2 linked regions of the Arabidopsis thaliana genome follow. The protein of the gene in region 1 interacts with the protein of each later gene in a biochemical or structural test. Each region holds a gene or a part of one and is shown on either strand. Other genes may lie near its edges. The genes, in order: MEA and FIE.

Region 1 (6,952 bases):
TATATTTTAAAACTGGTGGGCTTTTCATTACCATAAGTTTGGACATGTTTTTATAATTTGATGTATAGTGTAGACCAAAAAATAGAGAAATAAGAAAGGGAACCTTTGTGGTGATTGTAACAAAACAGAAATCATTATATTGAATCATTCGAAAAGACGAAAAGATCAAACCTTTGTAGCTAGATGACCATAGACGTGGCTGCCAATTACAGTCTTAATGCTTTTATATAGATCTTTCTTACATCCTCTGTTCCTTCACATTCAAGAAACAGTATCATCCCATTTTCTTTCTTCTTCTCAGTGTTTCAATCTTTGCGAATTAAGATGGAACATGAAGAAACACAAAAGAACACAAGAAACAGCTGGTCCCTGATTCGACCATTTCAAATGATCTCCATTAGCTTTCTTAGCCTCCTCCTCCCTCTATCTTTCCTCTTTCTTTCACGTCTCTCTCTCTATACCTCCTCAACTCCGGTCACCGTCTCCGGCGTTTCCTCTGTTATTCACCAGGCAGATGTCGGAGTCTTATACACGATCTTGTTTCTCATCATCGTCTTCACTTTAATCCACAGTCTCTCAGGAAAACCAGAATGCTCTGTTCTCCATTCCCATCTCTACATCTGCTGGATCGTTCTCTTCATCGCCCAAGCTTGTGCCTTTGGGATCAAAAGAACCATGAGCACGACCATGTCTATAAATCCAGACAAAAACTTGTTTCTTGCGACACATGAAAGATGGATGTTGGTTAGGGTTTTGTTCTTTTTGGGGCTACACGAAGTGATGCTGATGTGGTTTAGAGTCGTGGTTAAGCCTGTGGTTGACAACACTATATATGGGGTCTACGTGGAGGAGAGGTGGTCCGAGAGAGCCGTTGTGGCAGTGACCTTTGGTATAATGTGGTGGTGGAGGCTAAGAGATGAGGTAGAAAGTCTTGTGGTGGTGGTTACGGCGGATAGACTTAACCTCCCCATTCGTTTGGAGGGTCTCAATTTTGTGAACTGGTGTATGTATTACATCTGTGTTGGAATTGGTTTAATGAAGATCTTCAAAGGGTTTTTGGATTTTGTGAATACGTTGACTTTGAGCATTAAGAGGTCGAGAAAAGGCTGTGAATCATGTGTTTTTGATGATATGTGTAATGATGATCATGTGTAAGATATTTGACATATTATACTCATCTCTTGAATGTTTTTGAGATTTTTTTATTTTTATTTTCTATTTCTTGCTAGGAATTTAACCCGTATATATGTCACAAAAATAGTAGAATATCAGAAAGCAAAAATATTTTATCTAAAAATAACCATTGAACATTAATTTAAGTCTTTTTATAATTATATTTTTATAACACACCCTTTTTAAGAAAAACTTGGAGATTTAATTAACGTTATAAATAGTAAAAAATATCGGATTTACGTAGAAGTTTTAAATGCGTATAATTAAATTTACGAATTGAATAATATAGCCATATATATATTTTTGAAGATTTAAACTCATTTTGTTTCTTCCATATATGCATAATATATAAGCTTAAATAGAAAACTAGCTAGGAATGAATACTAATATATATAATGACATTAATATAAGTCTTACCGGACACTCCAAAATGTATATATTGATCTATCAACATTTTTTCATTGGTTTACTAAACCAAGTTGTCACATAAATATGAGTTAACGCCTTTTTTTTTATAATATTGTATATGAATTTAAACTTGAGCTGTCAAACGTCAAGCAAACCCAACATCTACATACATATAGTACTATATTTTGAAAATTAAAATTTTCTTAAATTTCCCATATTATTTTCCTTTTAAAGCAAGCAAGTCCAAATACGTTTCTTCCAGATTATAATTTTCCTTAATAAGGTTTTCTACAAAAAAAAATCAACTTCTTATTTAAAAAACCCTTTGCATTATCCTTTTCACCAACATCAGAGAAGACGAGAAAAAAAGAAGAGGCGAGTGGTTAATGGAGAAGGTTAGTTTCACTCCAAACATATATGAATTGACTAGGTTATGAAATCCATATATTTTAATTGTGTGTTTATGATAGATCAATAACATTTAGGGTTGAATTTTCTTGTGATCTATTATGTTATTCGTCCCATGCATGATCCATAAAACTTTTATTTTTGAATTTGTCTAGGAAAACCATGAGGACGATGGTGAGGGTTTGCCACCCGAACTAAATCAGATAAAAGAGCAAATCGAAAAGGAGAGATTTCTGCATATCAAGGTAAGAGACATTTGGTTGCTTTAATATTTTATTCTCTTCTGTATGTTTTTCTGAAAATTAAGGAGAGGAGAGGACTTAATCTCATAACTATACGATTCCAAAGAGATGTTAAGATACATCTAATAAACAGTTATACATTAGTCATAATCTTTAAAACTAAAAAGAGAAATTTCCAAACTTTTAAATTAAAAACAGAATTTAGAAAATGCCAGCGAATCGATAACGACATCCAGATCTGTCGGGTATCCAAAACTTAGAATAAAAAAATAATTAATATATTTATAATATAAAGCTGGAACTTAGGTTATAAAATAAAATTGAAAATAATAGTAGATTTTTTTGTTTTTGTCAAACAAAATAGTAATACAATTTGTTTTTTTTAGTACAAAGAAACTAAATAGGTCCAAATTGTTTTTTTTTTAACATTCAGCCAAAAAAGCCAAGATTGATGCATATATCAAGAAATCGAAATCAAAACTTTTGTATTCAAGTATTCTAGTTTCACTATATATAGAGTCCAGTTTCTGAAATTTAAAAAATCATTTACCTATATATTACTTGATTAACAGAGAAAATTCGAGCTGAGATACATTCCAAGTGTGGCTACTCATGCTTCACACCATCAATCGTTTGACTTAAACCAGCCCGCTGCAGAGGATGATAATGGAGGAGACAACAAATCACTTTTGTCGAGAATGCAAAACCCACTTCGTCATTTCAGTGCCTCATCTGATTATAATTCTTACGAAGATCAAGGTTATGTTCTTGATGAGGATCAAGATTATGCTCTTGAAGAAGATGTACCATTATTTCTTGATGAAGATGTACCATTATTACCAAGTGTCAAGCTTCCAATTGTTGAGAAGCTACCACGATCCATTACATGGGTCTTCACCAAAAGGCATGTGTGTTTTTTGTTTCGTACTAGTTTCAAAATATTAATCATATACTATATAGTAATCACTCATAGTGCATATATACATTTCTTTAACATTGCAGTAGCCAGCTGATGGCTGAAAGTGATTCTGTGATTGGTAAGAGACAAATCTATTATTTGAATGGTGAGGCACTAGAATTGAGCAGTGAAGAAGATGAGGAAGATGAAGAAGAAGATGAGGAAGAAATCAAGAAAGAAAAATGCGAATTTTCTGAAGATGTAGACCGATTTATATGGTTAGTTTTTGCATTACATATGTTCTTGATTATTAATTTGTAGTCCATATTTAATAAACTGCTCAAGAAATTTTCAGGACGGTTGGGCAGGACTATGGTTTGGATGATCTGGTCGTGCGGCGTGCTCTCGCCAAGTACCTCGAAGTGGATGTTTCGGACATATTGGTAACAATATTCGAATAAAAACTTCATACGTCGATCAATAACTTTCCTGCTTATTTAATTTTTGTTGTTTTTCGTCGTGAGAAATGTTTTAAATTTTCAAATCTAATGTAGGAAAGATACAATGAACTCAAGCTTAAGAATGATGGAACTGCTGGTGAGGCTTCTGATTTGACATCCAAGACAATAACTACTGCTTTCCAGGATTTTGCTGATAGACGTCATTGCCGTCGTTGCATGGTAACTTTGAATCTTTCTTTTTTAATTTAGCCACAAAAAAGGGAGATGATCATACATGTTTTTATTTTATTTTATCATTTGTTTTACAGATATTCGATTGTCATATGCATGAGAAGTATGAGCCCGAGTCTAGATCCGTAAGCATTAAATTCATTTAAATTATTTTGTTAGTTTCACAACCCTTATATATAAGGTTAAGTGATTAACTTAATTAGATTGCTTTGGCTTGTCAGAGCGAAGACAAATCTAGTTTGTTTGAGGATGAAGATAGACAACCATGCAGTGAGCATTGTTACCTCAAGGTCTCTATCTCTCTCCCTCTCTCTCTCAATTTTTTTGTCTATTCCTTAATTACGTTTATTAGTTACTGGTTTAATATTAAATAGGTGAGGAGTGTGACAGAAGCTGATCATGTGATGGATAATGATAACTCTATATCAAACAAGATTGTGGTCTCAGATCCAAACAACACTATGTGGACGCCTGTAGAGAAGGATCTTTACTTGAAAGGAATTGAGATATTTGGGAGAAACAGGTAAAAAAATAAAAATAGATTTAATGCATTAATATATATACTTACACTGTATTCCTTGATTATGCTGGTTCGCAGTTGTGATGTTGCATTAAACATACTTCGGGGGCTTAAGACGTGCCTAGAGATTTACAATTACATGCGCGAACAAGATCAATGTACTATGTCATTAGACCTTAACAAAACTACACAAAGACACAATCAGGTACACTAACCTATGTCGTAATTATTCTCATGACATGTATGTTAAAAACACATGAAGTTTCCTATATGTGTTGATGGTTTTATCACAGGTTACCAAAAAAGTATCTCGAAAAAGTAGTAGGTCGGTCCGCAAAAAATCGAGACTCCGAAAATATGCTCGTTATCCGCCTGCTTTAAAGAAAACAACTAGTGGAGAAGCTAAGTTTTATAAGCACTACACACCATGCACTTGCAAGTCAAAATGTGGACAGCAATGCCCTTGTTTAACTCACGAAAATTGCTGCGAGAAATATTGCGGGTATGTCATTCAATTTTTCCTAAGCCGGAAGATCCATGAGATTTAATTTGAACATGAGTTTGTATTTTTTGTTCAGGTGCTCAAAGGATTGCAACAATCGCTTTGGAGGATGTAATTGTGCAATTGGCCAATGCACAAATCGACAATGTCCTTGTTTTGCTGCTAATCGTGAATGCGATCCAGATCTTTGTCGGAGTTGTCCTCTTAGGTAACACTTTCACTTCAATATCTCTTTATACAAATTCTATAATCAAAGTAATTCAAACCAAAAGTCTTATAAAAAAAACTTTATATATAGCTGTGGAGATGGCACTCTTGGTGAGACACCAGTGCAAATCCAATGCAAGAACATGCAATTCCTCCTTCAAACCAATAAAAAGGTAATCAACGTCAAATCCGTACCGAAAATTTAAAACTAATTATACGAAAGACATTTAACTATCATTTCCCGTATTTTACTAGATTCTCATTGGAAAGTCTGATGTTCATGGATGGGGTGCATTTACATGGGTAAGCAATCATGTAAATATAAGAATAAGTTTAATAGTTATTGGTGCATTCATAACACTTTTTTTTTTTTAATAATGTTTTATACTTTAGACCATTAAATATATTGTGTGATATGGTTTGACCCGTCAGGACTCTCTTAAAAAGAATGAGTATCTCGGAGAATATACTGGAGAACTGATCACTCATGATGAAGCTAATGAGCGTGGGAGAATAGAAGATCGGATTGGTTCTTCCTACCTCTTTACCTTGAATGATCAGGTAACTTCAGAATAATTTTGAAGTAACGTTTTAATCATTCGCGGGTTACACATCTATTCGAATCAAAGTAACATTTATTTTACAGCTCGAAATCGATGCTCGCCGTAAAGGAAACGAGTTCAAATTTCTCAATCACTCAGCAAGACCTAACTGCTACGCCAAGGTACTAAGCCGTTATACTTTATCTTGAACAAATACTAACATTATACAAACAAAAATACTTATGTTAGTTTCTTTAGTTAAATCGTGTATCAACTTTACTCGTCGTTGATTGGTTTTCATATTGAAGATATTCCAAGAAACTCAAACTCATTTTAAATGATTTTTTCTTGTCGAGAAAATTTAGGTTACGAAAATTTATGGTTTCGTGTGCAGTTGATGATTGTGAGAGGAGATCAGAGGATTGGTCTATTTGCGGAGAGAGCAATCGAAGAAGGTGAGGAGCTTTTCTTCGACTACTGCTATGGACCAGAACATGCGGATTGGTCGCGTGGTCGAGAACCTAGAAAGACTGGTGCTTCTAAAAGGTCTAAGGAAGCCCGTCCAGCTCGTTAGTTTTTGATCTGAGGAGAAGCAGCAATTCAAGCAGTCCTTTTTTTATGTTATGGTATATCAATTAATAATGTAATGCTATTTTGTGTTACTAAACCAAAACTTAAGTTTCTGTTTTATTTGTTTTAGGGTGTTTTGTTTGTATCATATGTGTCTTAACTTTCAAAGTTTTCTTTTTGTATTTCAATTTAAAAACAATGTTTATGTTGTTAGTTTGCATAGACCTTTGGAAAAAAAAAGCTTTGCACAACTTTACATTTATTTAGTCTTCATTTAGCGAAAAATCACATAACACAAGTCTGTGGTACGTAATGTACAAAAATGTCAAAATAATGGGTTTTATCATTAAAAAAAAATATTGGTTATGAATGAAGTATAGTTAGAATTTTAGGTATTAGCTCGTTTGGTTTTAAAACGTTTTTCGAGATTTAATTTTGTAGTCTATTGAGTAATACATGGAAGAATCATCAACAAAGTGGCTGTAGCTTACGAAAGGTTTTACTTTAATGTAAATATGTATTTGATGCATCTAACATTTAGTATCTAAACAAATAAAAACAAAAAAAAAGAAAAAAGCTCTTTAAAATCCGAAAGTAACTATTTTCAAAAAATCTAAATTATAAACTTAAATGTTTGGAATCGCGAACGACTATTGCTAAATATAAATGCTAAATATACATGAAGATGTGAAAAACATGTTGGATTTGTGGAATCGTTAATGACCACGGTTAAATGGCGGGATCCAAAATCCGGTTAGATTTCACAATGTCATATTACGTCATATTAATT
Region 2 (5,859 bases), on another chromosome or scaffold:
TTTCGAAGAGATGAAAGAGAAAGATGTGAGATCATGGACCTCTTTGATTGCAGGATATGGAAGACATGGGAATTTTGAGAAAGCAATTGATCTTTATAACAGAATGGAGCATGAAAGGATCAAACCGAATGACGTTACATTTCTTTCTCTCCTCTCTGCTTGTAGTCATACAGGACAAACCGAACTAGGCTGGAAGATTTACGACACAATGATCAACAAGCACGGAATCGAAGCTCGAGAAGAGCACTTATCTTGCATCATAGATATGCTTGCGCGCAGTGGCTACTTGGAAGAAGCTTATGCACTGATAAGAAGTAAAGAGGGTATTGTAAGTCTTAGCTCATCAACATGGGGAGCTTTTCTTGATGCATGCAGGCGCCATGGGAATGTGCAGCTCAGTAAAGTAGCAGCCACGCAGCTTCTGAGTATGGAACCGAGGAAACCAGTCAATTACATCAATTTGGCCAGTGTGTATGCAGCTAATGGAGCATGGGACAATGCTTTGAATACTAGAAAGCTTATGAAAGAGAGTGGTTCCTGCAATAAAGCTCCAGGATACAGCCTTGTGTATTGAACTAAGAGAATAAGACAAAATCTCCAGAAAGGGTATACACTGTGGTACAAGGGTGGACGTTAACAAGGCTACAAAGAGCATCTCAAGGTCTCAGGGAGTAGCAACATGATCAGAATTACAATAAAAGAATGGATATCTCATTTCTTCGCACTCCTAATTCATCAATTCCTACAAGACTCAGACCGCTACTTGGTAATCACGTCCCAGCGCCATATAGTCCCGTCCTCGCAGCAAGCAAGAATCGTGCTACAATCCCATGGAAGAAACAGTGTGTCAGAATCCAAAGTTTGGTTTGATTTACAGTAACTATTGAGTCATAAATAACATTAAGAAATTTTCACTGCATTGGTGAGAGAGAAGATGGATTTATACCTTCCATCGACAGACATGGCTGTTTGCCTGATTACAGACTTTGATTGATTGTGTGATAACCTATATGGCAACAGAAAATCATGTCAAGACTAAAACATTTCTTAAAGATCAAACATTGTATCTGAATCCGAAACTAACTTACTTTGTAATCAAAACAGGAGGGCAACTTTTCAAATCCCAGACATAAACCTTTCCTTCCTGATTACCTGATAACAAACCAGCGAGTAATTTGTCACAAAATGAATAAGAAAAGTTGAAGTAATCTATCTATAGAATGCAAATTTGTATCTAACGAGCTCTCTGATTACCTATCGCAACAGAACTTAAATGGAGGTCACAAGAAAACTTGATAAACCAAATATCACACATTGGAACCGGGTATCTTAATAGAACATCTGAAGCTCCCTGCAAACCACAAAAAGTTCAACTGTAAATATATGTGATGAAATGAATGATTATGTTGTGTTTGGAGCAACAATGAGATCCTAACCTCGCCAGGAGAATTCTCTTTCAGTTGTGGTTCCCACAACAGGATCTCGTTGTCCACACTCTAAAATCCGATAGAACAACACAAGAGTAAAGTGTTTTAACAGTACACCAAATGAATTAATCTTAACCATCATTGACTTACTAACCTTTGAGAGGATAAAATCACCAAACCAACGGTTACAATCTACATAATTTGTATGAATGGAAGCTGTAAATACCTACATATAGAAGTAATGTTATTTACAAAGGCCATCACCAATATTTGTATGTCACTTGTTGTTACAAGACAAGGCTAAAACAAAATACTTACAGGGAATTGGACAAATTTTGTGGGGAATTTTGATGGATCATCAGTCCATGTGAATGACTTCTCGACGTACGTCCAAAACTCTATAGACAGCCAAAGAATAAGAAGATCATACAAACGAACCACAAGCCATTTTTCTCAAAAGGTTTTTTAAAATGGAAGTTTATTACAATATGTGCTCGATCGTACCTTTCATTGACCATATTTTAATAGTGGTGTCCATACCACAACTAGCAAAGCGGTAAATATCAGACGGATGAAAATCCTACAATTTTCAAAATAAGATGGTTCCCCTTAACATTGTCTCTATATATTATTGTAGAAAACTAACTGAATTAGATAAAACAATATTGGCTCACCACACTTAGAACTTCATAGCGATGACCTCCAGCTCCAGCAAATATCAAAATACATATCCCAGTTTCAACATTCCACAAACGAACAGATTCATCCTTATTCAATTAAAACGTAACAGCTCTTAATCACCAACAAATAAAAAAGAAGTCAGGATACTTTAGGAAGAAAAGAAAGCCAAGAGATATACCTTGCTAGCAGTAATCACAAGTTGAGGTTTTAAAGGTTGTGTCCTGATTTCGTTCACTGAATCTCCATGACCCACAAGACTCTGCACATTTGCGAGCACAGATTATACAAGAAAGATATAGAATCATTTGCTAGGATACATAGAACATCCATAAAAATGCAATAATACCTTATGAATCGTTTCACTGTTGACGTCAATGACTCGGATTATACCTTTTACTCCTCCAGCCGCAACATATGGGTTCCCATTAACGCCACACGCCCAACTTACCGTGTAAAACGACTCTTCCTTCTGCTCTCCAGAGGACATAGACAAAATATAACCAAATGGCCTCAGTGAAACATCACTTACTTTAATTTGATGGAAAAGCTAATATGTATGCTTCCTTACATCTTCATCAGCATAGGATTGCAATGCTGATATGGCACCATCTCCGAGACAATTGTACAGAGTAATCTACATAATAAGAGATACACCAATGGCAGTAATGAGATTCATGAACTAGCTAAGTAAAGGTTAAATGAAAGAACCCCTTGGTTAAAGCTTCTATGAGAAACTCAAATATTTCTAACTAGTAAATCATTCAATTTAAAATCCAACGGAAACTAGGAAAGATGAAAAAAACTACAACTAGTTAAGATAAGTATATTGAGACTGAGCAACCAAACAACCTTAGTGCGGAAACTGTTAGGCACACAACATTATAAAGAGAATGAGACCTAACCAAGTGTGTAAGATTACAAGTTAACTCTACTCATTGCCGATTGGACCCCAAGGACTTTCACATGGTATCAAAGCCCACTAATCCCAAATGCTCGACCGAAGACGATTACAAATTAACTCCACTCATTACCGATTGGTTTTTCATGGAACCCGAGAACTTTACGCGGTATCAGAGCCTACTAAGCCCAAACGGGTATCCGATCGATGTTTCGACGAATACAAATGAGCCTAAAGAGCCACTATCAGGTACATTCGGAACCCACATTGAAAACAAAATAGAGCAGTCTAATGTATAAGGTAATGACTTCACTCTATCTAGTTTCAAAATTAGAAAAAAAAATAACTTCCACAAAATCTCCAATACAGGAAAGCTTAAACTAAACGCTTCATAACTCACTTGATGACCGTTTCAAAAGGAACCTCCTTAGATAAGCAGACTAACAACATCAACCAAAGTTTCAATTTTTTTTAGAACAGAATGCAAATCAAGTGTATAAGGTAATGAGTTCACTTTAAATTAGAAAACAAAAACCATATCTTCCACAAAATCTCCAAAACCAGAAAGTTTGAACTAAATGTTACATAATCTTAGACTATAGCATCAAGCAAAGTTTCAATCTTTTAATCTCACTAAAGGCTAGAAATCAGAATCCAAAATCAAACACAAAAGGAAAGGCCTTAATGTTACAATCAATCTGAATCAAAACCTAAACAGACCCAGAATTGAAAACAGTGATTTCGAATTGAAAGTCGAGATCTTTTACCCGATTTCCACCAGCGGTAACGAAGACATCGAAGAAACGAGCATCAAGGAAGTTGAAAACAACAGCATACAAAGGTTTCTTCCCTTCCTGAATCCTATTCGTCACTTTGTACGATTTCTTATTCGATGGAGTCAAAGACCCAACTATTGACTCGTTCCCTAAGGTTATCTTCGACATTCGATATTCGAAATCTCTCTCTCTGTCTGACTCTCGCACACTAATCTAAGCTCACAAGTCTCTCATGCAACAACAACTGGTGTTTTGTAATTTTCGATTAGACACAGATTCACAGGTTATTAAAATTACTGTAACCGTAGATTTTGACCTCACGACAAACTTTTATTTTGGACCTGACACAACACACAACTCACCTTTTAGAAAAAAATGGTAAGAAAAATCAAATTTAACGTTTTTTAATAGGACTTAGAATTAAACGTTACGATGAAAAATAAATATATTCTTTGATTGATACGATCGAAGTTTACCTATTTGTCTTTCTTTTTTTTCAAAGGAATATTATAGATTTGATTGAAATTTTCTGAAAGTAGTAATTATTTAATATGTAATCTTATATTATTGACCATTCATTACTATTAGTTTTACTAAAAATGGTTAAATGATATAAGGTTTGGATTTAAATGGTATCACGTTTTTATGTTTTGAAAACATTATTTTGTCAATTACATACATTTCTCAATTTTATGTAATTCTTTTCTTCCACCCAAATTTTACATATTTTTTTACCTTTTTCTCAAATTTGATACTCAATAGCTACAATTCCAACAGTACCACATATTTTTTCCATCAAGTTTACTGTATGCAAATATGGATCATTTCTTCTGGACTACACCTCCGAGAGTTTATATATCATAGTATCCATGGGTAATACGATACTTATGGAAAGTTTTATAAGATTTACTTGTAATATTGCATTAAGCCAAAATGGAGGAACGAACTTGGCTCTATAATCGACCATAGAAGTGCTCTGTTTTATTTAAAGCTTACTTTCATCTCTTACCTTAAGTTTTTATTTTATTTTCTTGCACTTTAACTAAAATAGATTTTAGATACACCAAAACAAAATCAAGATCACCGATATAAGAATTAAAAAACATAGATGCAACAACTAATAGACAAACCATAACCAATTTGAAAATAGAAAGTGTGCTAAGTAGGTTTGATGTCCGCCTATTTGAAGTTGTAAATAAATTGATTTAACATTTTATCCTCTCACTGTTGTTATTTACCATGATATCTCTTCGTTGAGAGCATTTTACTTATTTAAAATGTATTTAATGGATTTTTAAAGGGTTTATTTGAATACTTTGGAATACTTTTCCAAATAAGTCACATTATCAAAAAAGAAAATTAGAAGTTCACTATTTGGATATAACGATTTGAACATCTCCAAACAAGATAATCAAGGTCCAAACTTTGAGAAACTCATCGATAACGACAAAATTTGCGATAACGACAAAATTTACGATAGAGTCCAATCAATGTTTATAGGAAAGGAAGACAAAAAAATACATGGTTATAGTTTATTTTAATATATGTTGAATGTAATATATGAAATTATAGTGCTTTAATTATAATTTGAAATAATCAGTTTACAACGGTACAAATTATATAATTTAAACAAAAAAATAGTTTAAAGCAATTATGGATAATTTTCGAGTGGTATTGTAGAATATCACGTGTGGAAAACACATTTGTTCAAAAAAATTTAGAGATCTATAGAACCTCTAGTTTTAAACCCTAGGAGTAAACAAGTATTGAAAGCTTTTGTGGTTGTTGTGTACTTGCTCGCTTCCTCGTACAACTCTTATAGGAAAATAGCATTTCTCCTAGCACTAAGTTCTGGAAGCGAATGCTCCCAAAATCTCACAACTAATTCACAATTGCTCCTATAGGATCGAATAATACGTGAAAACTGAACTGGTATCCGAGTAAAAACCAAACTAAACACATTACTCTTCTAATTGTACCCGATAATTTTTTATTCTTTCCATTCTAATTTTTTTATTCGATTAAATTGAAATTTTCCGGATATTTTGGATATTTTTCAATAGTTTGAGAATCTAAG

The links.
Region 2: the proteins of MEA (region 1) and FIE form a complex in vitro, tested with the Arabidopsis thaliana proteins (2 studies listed by BioGRID).

The regions. Positions count from the first base shown.
Region 1 is NC_003070.9:542,829-549,780, forward strand, and holds MEA (SET domain-containing protein), read left to right. Parts: upstream 1-1,904; 5' UTR 1,905-1,967; coding exon 1,968-1,976; intron 1,977-2,144; coding exon 2,145-2,234; intron 2,235-2,803; coding exon 2,804-3,135; intron 3,136-3,233; coding exon 3,234-3,407; intron 3,408-3,484; coding exon 3,485-3,572; intron 3,573-3,683; coding exon 3,684-3,809; intron 3,810-3,898; coding exon 3,899-3,946; intron 3,947-4,042; coding exon 4,043-4,111; intron 4,112-4,195; coding exon 4,196-4,344; intron 4,345-4,419; coding exon 4,420-4,546; intron 4,547-4,634; coding exon 4,635-4,843; intron 4,844-4,919; coding exon 4,920-5,051; intron 5,052-5,141; coding exon 5,142-5,223; intron 5,224-5,305; coding exon 5,306-5,353; coding exon of another isoform or gene 5,354-5,425; exon of another isoform or gene 5,426-5,426; intron 5,427-5,482; coding exon 5,483-5,611; intron 5,612-5,696; coding exon 5,697-5,774; intron 5,775-5,986; coding exon 5,987-6,166; 3' UTR 6,167-6,374; downstream 6,375-6,952. Other genes in the region: AT1G02575 (uncharacterized protein), read left to right, coding at 325-1,155. UniProt on the Arabidopsis thaliana protein: Polycomb group (PcG) protein. Catalytic subunit of some PcG multiprotein complex, which methylates 'Lys-27' of histone H3, leading to transcriptional repression of the affected target genes.
Region 2 is NC_003074.8:7,248,305-7,254,163, forward strand, and holds FIE (Transducin/WD40 repeat-like superfamily protein), read right to left. Parts: upstream 4,149-5,859; 5' UTR 3,951-4,148; coding exon 3,774-3,950; intron 2,931-3,773; exon of another isoform or gene 2,743-2,930; coding exon 2,677-2,742; intron 2,578-2,676; coding exon 2,455-2,577; intron 2,368-2,454; coding exon 2,287-2,367; intron 2,195-2,286; coding exon 2,102-2,194; intron 2,008-2,101; coding exon 1,932-2,007; intron 1,826-1,931; coding exon 1,746-1,825; intron 1,654-1,745; coding exon 1,582-1,653; intron 1,497-1,581; coding exon 1,437-1,496; intron 1,352-1,436; coding exon 1,255-1,351; intron 1,153-1,254; coding exon 1,089-1,152; intron 1,007-1,088; coding exon 947-1,006; intron 821-946; coding exon 760-820; 3' UTR 575-759; downstream 1-574. Other genes in the region: AT3G20730 (PPR superfamily protein), read left to right, coding at 1-574. UniProt on the Arabidopsis thaliana protein: Polycomb group (PcG) protein. PcG proteins act by forming multiprotein complexes, which are required to maintain the transcriptionally repressive state of homeotic genes throughout development.